3 linked regions of the Drosophila melanogaster genome follow. The protein of the gene in region 3 interacts with the protein of the main gene of each other region in a biochemical or structural test. Each region holds a gene or a part of one and is shown on either strand. Other genes may lie near its edges.

What was found.
Region 1: the proteins of Smyd4-2 (region 3) and ebi form a complex in vitro, tested with the Drosophila melanogaster proteins (one study listed by BioGRID).
Region 2: the proteins of Smyd4-2 (region 3) and HDAC3 form a complex in vitro, tested with the Drosophila melanogaster proteins (one study listed by BioGRID).

The regions. Positions count from the first base shown.
Region 1 is NT_033779.5:413,407-419,089, reverse strand, and holds ebi (ebi), read right to left. Parts: upstream 4,024-5,683; 5' UTR 3,702-4,023; coding exon 3,644-3,701; intron 3,579-3,643; coding exon 2,380-3,578; intron 2,302-2,379; coding exon 1,456-2,301; 3' UTR 554-1,455; downstream 1-553. Other genes in the region: CG13690 (uncharacterized protein), read left to right, coding at 1-533.
Region 2 is NT_033777.3:5,472,229-5,476,377, forward strand, and holds HDAC3 (histone deacetylase 3), read right to left. Parts: upstream 2,373-4,149; 5' UTR 2,262-2,372; coding exon of another isoform or gene 2,145-2,261; 5' UTR 2,096-2,144; coding exon 1,938-2,095; intron 1,876-1,937; coding exon 1,787-1,875; intron 1,718-1,786; coding exon 648-1,717; 3' UTR 582-647; downstream 1-581. Other genes in the region: Snr1 (Snf5-related 1), read left to right, coding at 1-437; CG45100 (uncharacterized protein), read right to left, coding at 2,145-2,261; Hcs (holocarboxylase synthetase), read left to right, coding at 3,032-3,173, 3,235-3,572, 4,078-4,149.
Region 3 is NT_037436.4:12,398,997-12,403,828, forward strand, and holds Smyd4-2 (SET and MYND domain containing, class 4, member 2), read right to left. Parts: upstream 2,940-4,832; 5' UTR 2,825-2,939; coding exon 2,254-2,824; intron 2,196-2,253; coding exon 1,853-2,195; intron 1,793-1,852; coding exon 1,256-1,792; intron 1,197-1,255; coding exon 975-1,196; intron 920-974; coding exon 601-919; 3' UTR 543-600; downstream 1-542. Other genes in the region: CG32104 (uncharacterized protein), read right to left, coding at 1-71, 145-271.

The sequences.
Region 1 (5,683 bases), on a different chromosome or scaffold from region 3:
TCCAACAGGCGATCGATGCGGGCGTCAATATAGCCGAGGTTTATGTGGATACGGTGGGTCCGCCGGAGAAGTACCAGGAGAAGTTGCTCAAACGTTTCCCCAGCTTTAAAATCACCGTGGCGAAAAAAGCTGACTCCACCTATCCAATAGTCTCTGCTGCTAGTATATGCGCCAAAGTTACCCGTGATCATGCCCTCAAGGTGTGGAGCTTCCCCGAGGGCTTGGTCATTAAGGACAACGAGTTCGGCAGTGGATATCCGGGAGATCCGGTCACAAGAAGATTTCTGACCGAGTACATCGATCTAGTGTTTGGATTTCCACGACTTGTGCGCTTCAGTTGGTCCACCGCGGAAAACGCACTGGCGGACAAGGCCTATGACATGGAGTTCGACGAGCCGGATTCCGAGAAGCCCAAGTACGCCGGCACCAAGCTCACAAAGTTCTTTAAGGGCACAACAAAATCCGGCGAAATAATTCGCGAGGAGTGCCGCTTCTTTAAGCAACGCCATCTGGAAAGTGTCATGGAGTTTTAGCAACAAATGAAAATAAAATTAAGTTCAGGAGTATCTATATTTACAAAGAATAAAGTTTAATTTAAGTACTTTAGTATTAAATTTTAAAATGCTAAAATACAAAAAACACCCAGGCCCAAAACGAAAACAGATTAATTTTTATCTTTAATGTATTTTTGCTGATGTTCTTGTGTTTCCGCCAATCTCGTGTTCTTAATAATTACGTTCGATTACTGACTACGTGGGACTGCAGTTACACTGTTCTGAATGTATGCGTGAATCGGTCTGATCTGATCTCTTGGCATCCCTTTTTTGGAGGACAACTGTGGAATTGGGTAAAGGACTTTTGGTGGGGAGGGCGGGGAGTTGGCTGGCATCTTTGATCGATACAATAACAAAATGCAAAGTTATACTAAACGATTTTCGTATAAAAAGGGACGACCTTAGAAACATGGAGCTTATGATTAAGATTAAAATGAGGCGAGTCGCATCCCGCTGATCTGAAGAGAACAACAACCATGTTGAAGCCCCCAAAAATCCCAGGTGCATATCGATATTTTGTGACTCGAAACTAAGCGTACGAAATAGACGTGGACAAAAGCGGGAGGATCTCATCTCAAGAGGTATACCTTAAAGAACTAATTAGAATTTAAAGCAATTACAAATACGATTGCAGGGCGGGATAGCTAAGAAAGGAGTTACCTAAGGTCCGGACTCCAGATCCAAATCGACTTATGTTGGTAGAATTGTAACTGATCATATTTCACTTCTTTAAAAAATATAGTTAAATGCAATTTTTGAATCAAAAGTAAAAACTTCTCGTTCCGTAAGAAAGTGAAAAACTACCGATTTCATTTTTACCAAATAATGAGCTGGAAAAGGAATCTTGACTATTTTAAGCGTTGGCTCAATACACGAAATCCAGTTGTGGCTGCTCCGGCAATCAGAACTTTCGCAGGTCCAACACGAAAACGCTACCGTCGGAGGCACTGGCACCCACCTTAGTGCCCTTGGAGTTCCAGCACACCTCAAAGATTCCGCCCGTGCCCTTGTAACTGTGCACTAGCTGTCCCGTTTGCGTGCTCCAAATGTGTACGCACTTGTCGAAGCTGCCGGAGGCCAAATGCTTTCCATCCGGACTGAAGGCCACCGAATAGACTGGCTCTGTGTGCTTGGTGAGCGTGTGGATACAGCTGCCCCTCTCCACGTCCCACAGTCTTACCGTGGAATCGAACGAAGCGGATGCGAGGATCAGGTTTGTGTTTGGATTATTGGTTCCCGGCCCCGTGGGCGACCATTTTATCGTATAGATCTCCTTTGAGTGAGCCTGCAGATCGTGGCAGCAACGATCTCGGTTCATGCTCCAGATCTTGAGGGTCATGTCATCAGAGCAGGACGCCAGCAGTTGGCCCTGCGGACACCACTTGATTGCATTCACCTCGTTTGTGTGTCCTTTAAAGGTCTTGATGGGTTCATTTACACCCAACCGGCACACATGTATCCGCTGATCCGTACTGCAAGAGGCAAAGGCCTGGTTTGTCTGCCAGTCCACATCCAAGGCTGGAGCACTGTGAAAGGCAAATTGCTGGGTGCATTGGCCCGTGGATGCGTCCCAGATGATCGTCGTCTTGTCCACGCCAGCCGAGAGGATGTAGTTGCCGCACTTGTTCCACTTCAGAGCAAAGATCGGACCCTTGTGTTGTCCCAAAGTAGAAGCAAGTCGACCGTCGGTTTTCCAAATTCGGGCGTAACCATCGTAGCTGCCGGTGGCGAGCAAGGAACCATCGCACTGCAAAAACGAGAATAGATTAAGTAAGGATCAGAAATCAAACTTTGCAAGGCTTAAGTGCCAAGATCTTCGACTTACATTCCAGTCCAGAGAGGTGACGTCCTTGTTGCTAGGCACCTCAGCGCCGCCTTTCTGGATGCAGTGGCGCAGCACCAACTGGTTGGAGTTAGTGTTTGCATCGGACATGTCCCATATCCTAGCAGTGCTGTCTCCCGAACCGCTTGCCAGTAAATCCCGGCTAGGATTCCATGCGCAGATAAACACCTCGCTTTCGTGGCCGCGTAATACACGAGCCTTGGATTCGGGTATTTCGATGTTCTCGTCAATGTCCATGGGAACAAGAGCTGCGGGAGTCCCAGCACCTCCGCTGGTAGACGAGGAGATGGTTCCACTGGGAGCAGAGCTTTGAGCATTGGACGAACCAGACTGCACGTTGTTTCCTTGGGCTCCTACGCGAATCGTAACCGCTCCACTTGGCGCCTTTGATCCTGTTGCAGTCGAAGCTCCGCCCGATGCTGCTGCGTCCGGATTGGAGGTTGATACAGTTCCACCAGCGGGCGTCAGCCCGCTTGTAGGTTGTTCTACGCTGCTGGAAGTGCTGCTATTGCCATTTGTGGATGTTGAGGAGGCTGCATCATCGGTACTGGTAGCATTTGCATTGCCTGCATTGCCACTAGATGAGCTTCCCGCTTCATTCGAGTTCTGGGATTTCTTTTGACTTGCCCCAGGTGCTGCCAAATCTCCACCAGCTGGTGTGCTTGTGCTATTAGATCCTCCAGTACTGGCCTGGTTCCCTCCAGCTCCATTGTTTCCGGCGTATGTGCCGCCAGCATTATTTGCCGCATTTCCACTGGAGTCTACCTCGCTTGCCGACTGATCGGTTGGTGTGCTTGTGCCCGTGGTGCTGCCAGCAATTTTGTTTCCACCTGCTGAGCCCGCCACTCCGGTACCCGGTTCTATTTTTATCTCAGGCTTGGCATTGTTGTTCTGGTTGCCACCGGCAGGGGCAGAAGAGTCGACTGCCCCGGGTTTTCCCGGCTCTGTTTTCACAATGGGCTTGAGTGGCTTCACCTCCGGCATGACAGCGTCTATTAGAGAGAGTCCTTCAATGGGTCGCGCCACCTCGCCGTCTTCGCCTACGCTCCACTCCACTTCAGTGTACAGAAGACCCTTCTGCAGGATGGTGAGCAAAGCGGCAGGTGGAACCAATGCGCCATTGATATTACTTTGCGAGATGTGTGACTCAATGCCAAACACGTAGGCCGAGTGCAGAAAGCCTAGAAAACGGGATTGCATGAGATTAGGGCGGGCTGTTATCTTGCGATTGGAGGGTTTTACTCACCCGACTCCTGCAGGTATCGGTAAACCAGAAAGTTCACCTCGTCGCTGGAAAAACTCATGACGGAACGCGGTTGGCTCCTTCTCCTACTACTAGCGCACTCCAAAATCCACTCCTATCTCCAATGCCAATTATGTTTTTACGGTGCGAAAATCGGAACTGTGCTGCGTAACACATGCGTCTGCATTCGGCACGCTTATCACTTCGGCGCAAGCCACGGTATCCGGTGCTACTCCTGGTACTTGGATCGATCTGGTCGGTCCTGTGTTTTCAATTCTGCCAGTTTGCTGCTTGCCGCAAGAGCACTTCACATATTTTTTCCACAAATAAAACCGAGGGATCGAAAACGCGTTTCTGAAACGCGCAAAAAAATGGCGGAGTAATCTCAAGGTGTGCGCTGCGAGAGGTTGCGCAGCCTTGTGTTTTGTGACGTCACAAGTTTTGACAACAACTTAATCAAATTTGAGTCATATTTTTGTATTGCACCAAGCGTTACCTTAAAGGATAGAACGGAAATTTATTAGCCATAAAAACAATTAAGAAGATATTTTTGGATTTCTGCTTGGAGCAAAAGGTAAAAAATTCTTAAAGCGAATTGTCGTCTCTCTTCGTCCATCCCTGTGTACCCATCCCTCGAAGTAATCATTGTATTTCAACCCAACGCTCTACTGGTCACACCAATCGTTCCACCCGCGCCCGCTAGATGGCTCCACTCTTAGGCAGCGAGAGCGAAGAAAAATCAATAGAAATTTTCATTTTAGTGAATTGCCCTGCACTTGGTAATAGTTAACAAACAAATTAGCGGCAAATCAGCGAGGCGAAGCTCCAGCGAGTTGGAGTTCCATAAAGTGCAACACGCAGGGTCAAACATTCCGCAGCCAACACCCCGGATTCCGATTCCAAGCGAAGCCAACTTCAGAAGTCAGAGATTACTCTCTCTGCTCCGCCACAGAAATTCCGCAACGCTAACCGATTTTGTCCGCTGGCGAGTAAAAAAAATCGGAAAAGTAAGCTCAAAAAAAAAGAACAGCTAACATACGCCCATTAATGTTTTTGGAGGCTTCTTCGGTGCTTTTTTTTTTGGGCAAAACGCCCTCGTCATCCAGCGGTGAAAAAAGTGACGTGACATGAAAGCAAAGAAAGAAGAGAACCGAAGAGCGCAGTGAAAAACAGAAAATAAAACGAAACGGAAAGCAAAGTAAAAAGTATACTACAGAAACAAAAGCCGGTGGTCGCGCAAATCCAAATAATAATGCCCAAGTGCACATCGACTTCGCCAGGCGATAAAAAGTGGGCGAGCGAGGTCACAGAATCTTTATCAACGGGCAAAACGCTGCCAAGTTGAAAATAAATCGGTTGCCAAAAATGCGGGGGTACACTCTACTTCCACCAGAAAATGTCAAAGTTCGCCAGCCATTGGGTGCACTGGCCGGAAAATCAATCACGTAGTCCACTATTTACCGTTTAAAAGTTCTGAGTTTATTAAACATTGGATTTTTTATACATATAAATCGTTATCAGCGCTTGATGCTCAGTGAAATGTGTGGTGCATACATATTTTGTGGCGTTTTCGTTATCAAAAGTAAAACTGCAATACGGACTTTCAAAATAGAAGCTGTATCAATGTGTTGGCATGCACAATAAGCTACTCCCTGGCTAAATACAAATTGTTATCCAAAATACCTTTTGTTTGAATAATATACGTTTGTTAACACAAATACTAAAACGTAATCATAATACTAAGTTTTCCCATTCCCACAACCCACAATAAATAGAGTATCGTTTCCCCTTTCAGGTCCCAAGGAACGGCCGAGATCCAATCGAAGTAAAAAGAGCTTTGCAGAACCAGAGCGGAGAGCAACTATATATCTTAGGGTCCGACGTCGAGTTCGAGCGATAAGAACGCCTCGAGACTCGGCCGCCATCCATTGACGATTTTCTTGCGCCCCCAGTTTGCATAAAACCAGCGAAAATTAACAAGCTAACTACCATGGCGCCGGTGCGGGGGGATGGCATGAGAGGCCTGGCCGTCTTTATATCGGA
Region 2 (4,149 bases), on a different chromosome or scaffold from region 3:
GACAGCAGATCGAAGCCTTTCCCAACGATCCCCCCATCCTCGAGGAGACCTGCGACCAGCGGGTCATTGTTAAGCTGAACATTCACGTGGGCAACACCTCGCTCGTCGACCAGGTCGAGTGGGACATGTCCGAGAAGAACAACAACCCCGAGGAGTTTGCCATTAAACTCTGTGCGGAATTGGGATTGGGAGGAGAGTTTGTTACGGCCATTGCCTACAGCATTAGGGGTCAGCTATCGTGGCACTGTCGAACGTACGCCTTCAGCGAGGCCCCTCTATCAACGATTGATGTGCCCTTCCGGAATCCCAGCGACGCTGACGCATGGGCGCCATTCCTAGAGACGCTTACCGACGCCGAAATGGAGAAGAAAATCCGCGACCAGGACCGCAACACGCGCAGAATGCGACGACTGGCCAATACCACAACTGGTTGGTGATCTTCCGCCGATCCAGCAATGTGTCACTAATGTAATCCTCCTATTAAGTACCATTATGCATCCCAAATAAATGTGTGTCTGTCGATTTTAAAACCTATTGTCTTCTACGCGCTACTTCCAAAAAAAATAGTTCCAAACGATGTTACAAAATAAGCTGATACTCTTTACTGCTTACGCTAAACTCGAATCCTTATTCTACATTATCCAATACTAACTTTCTGCCGAATCGGGCTTGTCTTGGTCCTGATCGCCGTCGTAGAACTCGTTCTTAGCATCAACCAGCTTGTCCTCATCGGCTACGGATATTCGCACGTCGGGATCACTCGCCTCCTCCCGGTTGCTGCGCAGCTCCTCCAAGTCCACATCAGGCGGGGTCTGCACCATTTGGACGCTGGGCGAGTGCTGGCACATCTTAAGGTTTTCATACACATGCTTAACGATGAGTTCAAGATACTGCTTTGAGTTAGCATTATCTTGGCGTGAGTTAATCTCTGGATGGAGTGTAAAGTCGGGGGCGAAAAAGTCGTAATACTCGGTGGCGGGTAGGTCATTTTCAATGTCTTGGTCCACCAGCAGCGAGGTCTCGTGCGTCCAGCAGCGGGCCACGTTCCGTAAGGTGTAGCCACCGCCTCCGACCACCAATGTGGGTACGTTCAGTTCCTTCACAAATTTGACACACTCACCATGTCCCTTGGTGCTCAGGGAGAAGCAACCTAGTCGATCTCCAGCTAGTGAATCCGCGCCACACTGCAAAACGATAGCCGTGGGCCGGTAGAAGTCCATAATGGCAGAAATTATGGGTTTGAACACCTGAAAATAGCTCTGGTCATCAATGCCCTCCTTTAGCGGCACATTAACGCTGTAGTATCGTCCCGATTCGGCGCCTATCTCGTACATGTCTCCCGTGCCGGGAAAAAAGTAGTTTCCGTATTTGTGGAACGAAGCCGTCATCACTCGGTCCGTAAGGTAGAACGCCTCCTGCACCCCGTCGCCGTGGTGCACATCGATGTCGATGTAGAGCACCCGAGGATGGTACTTAAGCAGCTCCAGAATGCCGATGACGATGTCATTCACGTAGCAGAATCCGCTTGCCTCGAACTTCTTGGCGTGATGCAGTCCGCCCGACCAGTTTATGCATATGTCGCTGTGGTTGTGGTTCAGCTTCTGGGCTCCCTCCAGCGAGGCACCCGTGTACATTGCACAGAAGTCGAAGAGGCCATCGAACACGGGACAGTCCTCGCCTACGCTGAAGTGCGCCAGGTACTTCGTATAGGCCACGGCTTAAGAACAGAAAATTATCAGATTATTCTAAATGTTATTCCAATTGGGCGACTTCCTCTTCAACTCACAATTGCACTGAATGTTTTGTGGAGTCACCTGCTGTAAGTAGGCGATGTACTCGTCGCTGTGGAAGCGGAGCATGTCCTGCGCACTGGCCCTGCAAAGAATTCCGGATTAGTATAATTTACGCGGCACAGACACACCTCTCCGCCAACTCACTTGTACGGCCTGTAGATCTTCATTTTCTTGTGCAGTCCGTAGTTCATTACCAGGCTGTGAGTGACCGCCAGGCGTTGCGGCTTCATGGGATGCCCGGCTCCATAGTGGAAGTTGCCCACGTCCGCGTTGTAGAAGTACGACACCCTACGGTCCGTCATCGCGCCAACTTCTCAATTGGATCGGTTATTGCAGGGACGCCGTAGTCCCCTAGTTGTGGACCAAATCCTCGCCGGGCAGCAGGTACGTCTTCGCATACAGGACAATCAGCAGAACGGCCACGATGAAAAGGAGTCGCCGGGTTGTGTCGTATTCGCCCAACAGCATGCCGCTCCCGTGGTCACCTTTGGGTACCTTTGTTTAATCGTGAGATATCAATTTGCTAACTTATTGCCAATTGAAGACAACTTAAAGCGGCGTGCGCCGATAGTGTACTAAAAATGGACATAGCTAGTGATGTACAAACGCACAGTCACGTCACGAGAGCATCCCTATGGTGATGCTATAATTTTTGTTCTGCTCAATTCACAAGTCTCTCTGTGCATGTGGTTTTATTTTATTTTTGGTCGATGTAAGGAAGGCTAGATGTTGTAAAATATACGTGTGTCTTTTAGTTTTCATTTAGGTTTATTTTTAAGCCTAATGTATTAAATGAAATAAATACACGAACGTACGCTTGCCAAAAAAAAAACCCGCCAGATATGACCGAAAGCCGCCGGGCCGGCAGCACTGTCCAGTTAGTTTATCTTCTATTTTGATTTTCTAATTCGACTCTGCTCGCGCTAATTTTCGTGATAGAGAATATTGGAATATTGGAATACGCGTATTGGAGTATTGGAATTGGAGAATGCAGTAATCAACAATAAAAGTCAGTGGACAAGGGAATGCAGAAAGTGTGTCAACTGGCTAAAAACGGCGAATCAGGAAGCGCTCCTTTGGGCAACCGATAAATCCGCCAGCCGAGCAAAATCGGAGCCAATTACGAAACCGCCATTGATTTTGGTTCCCATCAATATGTAAGTTGTGCCCCGGCTTCTGAATTAGTCCCCAAAAAACTTTGAGTCCGCGGAGGAAGCAGTACCCACCAGAAATCTGCGATGTTGACCCTGTATTACGTGAGTGCCACCGTCCTGCAGTCCTGGCGCATTCAAAAGGCGTGCTCCAAGATCGCCGAGCACCTCGCGCAGCCCTCGAGCATCGCCTTCTATACCCTCCAATCGGGCAGCGATGACGGATTCGGTAAGTGGCGGCGTCATTGGAAGGCGTTCACGCTTATATAGACTGCCTGCTTCCTCCACAGATCCCGCCCTGGCCAGCTCGGAGTTGTGCTGCAATCGGAACGCGGCCAAGGTCACGGACATCCTGTGGCTGCACGCCAACCAGCGGGGTTGCTGCCTGCGTCCGCTGCAAACGCTACACATCACGCCTTGGATCAGCTTTCCGCCGGCGCCCAGTCTGCTTCCCTTCTCCTATGCCGCCGACACGTTAACGCCGGCGTCCACGCCCACGGAGGCGGACGTCCCGCGCCAACAACGGGTTTCGCTCTCTGCCCAAGGGGAGGAGCGGATGCAGCTGCTCCTTGAGGCCGACATAGAGCCACTACAGCGGCCCAGCTCCGAGGACACATCAGCAGTACGGGTAAGTTAACCCGACGGCGTGTTGCGTTTTTTTTAATCTCCAAATCCATCAATAAAAAACAGTAAGGCTTAAGCAAATTCAAGTTATAAATGTTTAATTGCCACAATTCGGAGTCCACAAATACATGTTTATACATGTTTATTTGCAACAGAATAGTTCAAAGACTTCAGGATGTAGGAATAGCTTTTTAATGGACTTTTAACTACATAGTTTGGAATTCACCATTAAAGGGGGACTACGAATATTACTCCAAAGTATCTTAAGAATGCTACCGTAATTAAAGTTAGCCCACTTTGTATCATCATAATGAGAACAGATAGGGACAATCGACCTTCGGGTGACGCCGCAATGTGGACGGTGTTGCGTGCGGTAATCTTATTAAGATGTACATGGTTGAATCGATTAGAGCGCTGGCGTCATACATACATACATACGACTACACTAACTAGGGGTATCCTCTCGTGTGTCCTTTCTTCTTCTTGCATGTCGGCGGCCCATGAATCAGCTGGAAGATTACGGTAAGCTAATTGCTTGGAAAATAGATTCCCACCTGGCGGTGCTCATCGAAACAGACGTC
Region 3 (4,832 bases):
TTCCGTAGTAGAAGTAACACGCCCCAATTTTGCCTGCTCCCGTCTTTGCGCAAACATGGACTTTTTAGGAGCTGCATTTGTGAAAAAATTCAACAATAAATGTATTTAATAAATATTTGGTAAGCAGAGGGAATCTGGCCGCACCTTTATCCATACGCACAAAAGCCGCTGCAGGCTGGAAATTGGGATCCTTCGCTCTCTCTGCATTGAACTCTGCTGCCATTCGCAGGACATCCTCCTCACTTTCACCTGGCTTAAGTTTTTTAAACATTTTAGCCGGAAAAACAAAACCAAATAGATTTCAAAACAAGTCGGCTGCAGTGTGGCCGTACCTTTAGAAAATACCACCAACATTCGTTTCCATTAACAGACACTTAACAGGGCAGCATTTACAGAGCTATGTTATTGCGAAAACATTTCAATTGTAAAATTCCCAGTAAAGTTTCCAATTAGATTTCAGTAATGAGGAAGGCGGGCAATTTAAAAAAATTGCATGTACACCATTTACACCTACATCATTAAAATGAAATTTAATTTGCATTCAAGTAGAAAAAAACGATTTAATAATACAAGTGCACACGCCATTAACTAGTTTTTCGTTCATTTCCCTTCCTTTTTAAATGTGGTTCCCGTATCGGACAAACACTTATGCAGCGACTGCTGCGCCACTATGGTGTCCTTGTGAGGCAGTGCAGCCACTTGGAAGAACATATCGAGCGACTCCTTGAAAAGTTCTATGGCCTCCACGGTTTTCTGGGCCTCCATGGCTCGCGCAGCCTCTCGATACAGCTCCTCGATCTTGATCATCTTGGCTACGCTCTCCTTGAGTGAGATGTTCTTGCGGCAGCGAGGACAACGCACATCCTTTGCCAAATCCTTGGGGAACTTGAGCAAATTAGAGCAGTTGGCTGAGGTGCACCTTTAATAATGAAAGATATTATAGTATATCGATTGATAGCGAGGCTAGTACCCACCAGAATCGCACTTGCTTGTCCAGTTTCTGGAGCAGTGGCCAGTTCTCCTGGCAGGCCATGCAGCTGCAGCTGAAGGAGTAGCGTCCTCGCAGAGATCGCTGTCTCTCCTTCAAGTTGTTTTTGATGAAAATGGGTCCGTAGTTCACGGCCACCAATTCATTGGCACGATGCGGCCTGGTGGCTGTGAGGACCAGCTTCTTGCCAACAAAATGACAAGCGGTGCTTAAATTATAAGACGAATCCTTAATGATCTCTATAATATTCAAGATAATACAACTCACCTGGGCCAGCACTCGTGATTGAAGTAGGAACCAGTACCATAAAGTCCTGCGGCCAGATACACCGTCTTACTGCCGTCGAAGCGATGCTCCTCGGTCACTTGGGTTTGATAGATCTGGTGGGCATTGTACTGGAGCACCTGCAGCAGGCCCAGCAAAGCGGTGGCCACCTGCAGCTCCACCGCAGTTGGATTCACTCCCTCAGTTTTGCGACGTCCGAAGTACAGCGACTTCTGTAGAATGCGCAACAGGAAGCCAGACATCAGAGCTCGCCGCAAGTAGTCGTCCGGCTGGCGGTCCTCCTCGTGGGAGCACAAGTGCTCGAAGAGCAGATTGGCGGTGGCCAAGCCCTGCTCCAAGCTGGGCGCCTGTGTGAAGATGCGCAGCGCGATGAAGCACAGGATGGACATGCCAGAACCGATCATCAAGTCCATATACTCGCACTCGAAGCGATGGTAACTGGAGCAGGCCTCGCCCATGCACTGGGCGGAGCAGAAGGCGATTCCCGAGCAGTGGAGACAGGAAACGGGAGTGTGCAGCCTGCAATTAATGGGATTCTTTGACAGCTTGACAGCTGACTTCACATTATTAATCCCTTACCTCTTGAAGCAATGATGACAATGAGTGCCAAAGTAACTGGGCTCCAAACAGGCGGCCACTGGCTCCTCGAAGAGCAGAACGTCGCCGGTTCTCAGACCCTCGTTGGCCACCACAAAACGACCCTTGTCCTTGGTCTCCACCAGCCTCACCACCTTGGACGCACCAACTAGTTCGGCACTCTCGCCATGTGCCAGTTGTGGCACCTGTTCCGAGGTGGCTTCCTTGGGTTTCGGCTTTACTGATGATAGTTCCTTGCGGCACAGTGCGATGTGGGTGGCATCACAGCCAGGCATTTTCTCGGCTATCTTCAATGAGATCTCAGCGCGGGCAGGTTCTCCCATGACTGAAAATAAAAGGATTTCCATAAGCATGATACCATCGGTTGCTCCCGGCTGACCCACCTGCATAGGCTTTGGCCATCTTTAAGTAGTAATCCACACTGGACTTGAGCTCCAGTCCAAAGTTGATGGCCAGCTTGAGGTCATTCAATGCTGCCTCCCCCTCGCCCAAGCGGATCAATATGGAAGCCCTCGATCTGTAGGCCAATGCCAAGGTGAGGCCCTCATCGAGGACAGGATCTGCATTGCGGTCGGGAGCCCGCATCACGGCCAGATTGGCGGCCATTAGAGCCTGCTGCAGCAGCTCCCTGCTCTCCTCGCCGTCGCCACTGCCGCTCATCAGGTAGAGCTTATCCGCCTGTGCACGTCGCTGGGCCGAGAAGAGGGCATCCTTCTGCTTGAACACCGGCTGTACATGCTCCAGGACACCCAGCACAGGATCGCACACCTCGCGATCGCTGAAAATGGACAGAACTCGGGCTGCATTGGACTTCAGTTTGCCAAAGTAGTTGCGCAGCCACTTGTCGCCACATGCATCACGCACGTCCACGCAAAATTCGTTGAAGAATCCCCTCCTCTCCGACTGAACCGTCTGCGCGGAGCAGATCTCGTGGTACGTGGCGTCGAACTCCATTTGGACTCAAAATTATGTAAAATCTAATTCAGATTTTCGGTGCAACGGCTGAAAAAGTGGGACTTGTCCGCGTTTTCTGATCACCACACGGCCGCTGAGTATTGGAAACAGCTGGCGGACGTTCCTATACTCCAAAAATAGCACCGATCTTTCAGTTCGGCGGCGCATTATAAATATGCGGTATTGAGTTCCGAACTAGTACTGGTTCACGTTCGATACTTCTTTGAGGATATTATTTATTTTCGAAATAAATAGAAATATTTACATGGTTTCGACTTTGACACTATTTGGATGTTTATGCTCAATTAACTTTATATCCACTTAAAATGCAAGCGATCAGTTGTAATAATTCGCATTTTATTTGTAACTGGAATCGGGCTTATAAATCACATTAAATAATTTATTTAAAAATTAGCTAAACGTACAAAAATATAACAATATGTATATCAGAGTATTTGTAGTTATATATATATTCGTAATTAAATGTTAAGTGTATTTTCATCGCGTGGAAAATACGCAAGTTGATTTCAAACTCTCGTTAATATTTAGATTTGCTCATGGACTAGATAGACTTTGTCAACCATTGTTTATCAGTTTATCATCTTGGAAAGACCTTAAGTAAGTAGAAGAGTATATTTTGTGTAACATTTTTGCGTGACACTCATTAATTTTGGTTCGCCATAATGTCAAAATGCAGAGGACAACAAACTTAAAATGATCTCAAACTACATACGAAAATCCTGTAGAAGTAAAAACAAAAGACTAATAAATTATAAACAAATTTTGCGTAGATTTCATTATAATCTTTGTATTTATTTACTCGAATAATGATTGGGTGATTTTTAATGATCAAGTCAAATGATTCAAGTGTGTTTGACTTCTTAAAAATGCGGTGCTGTGGTAAAGCGTTTTTTTTTTTTGTTTTTTGGGACAGTGATAAATCATATTTAAAAAGTCATTATTTTCACTACAGTCGTACAAAATTCAATTTGGCTAATTAAGAGTAGGGTACAAATTATACATATGCTTTTAAATTCAAAACCATTACAGTGTGTATATAAAATAGGATTGAACTTATGATTGGTCGGTTTTGCGATCGGCTTCAGATTCACATGATATATCAAATAAATTACATGGTGTATGGGTATTGTGTTGGTTTTGTTTTGTTTGTTAGCTTTCGTCACAATTAATCTCGTTGGCTTCAATTGCAATACGATCTAAGAGGAAGTGTTACTAAACTTAACAAATAAAATGCTACAAAGTTTTCTTCAGCCTCGCCGCCGAACTTGCTCAAGAGACTGCGACAGCTATTTGAAGCTTACAAGTCGGTATTTTAGTAGGTATAGGTATAGTTATATGTATTTATATGTGTATATTATAAACTATTATCATCACATTGTAAACGTTAAGTGTTTCTCATTTTTTTGTGTAATCGATTAATCTAAGCAAAAACGAGTACATCGTAGTTTTAATGTCTTTTGTGTTTAAGCTTAAACGCTGCCGAGTATCCGTATCCATCCGTCTATCCCTCGATTTCAGATACCTGATTCCCACTCGCAATCCGCCTGCCTGGCTCACTCTGATTTATGCTAAGCTAATTCGCTTTCGAAAGCAGTCGGATGGGACGAACTAAAAACCCGTGAAACTCTTCGAAGCCGGTTTCGTTTTTTTCTTTTTTTTTTTTGGTATGTGTGTTTTTAGCAGTTCACTAAGAGCGATGGCCCTCAACAAAGGTCGTAGCCTACGTACAATTGTAAATAAATTAGCTCTTAAGAGATAGAGTGGCCTAAACCTACTTGTAGGTCGCAGGATTGTTGGCCTAAGAAATGTTTTGGGATTAGCACACGGCAAAATGTTGCATTTTCTCCTTTGCGTTTGGTTTATAAATAAATTAGCCATAGTATCACTTATTTTATATTTTAAGAAAATAACCAAAAACTAATTCAACTATAAAAACTTAAAACGGATAACCCAGAACGTGGAAGAGGCCTGCTTTACACTTAAGGAA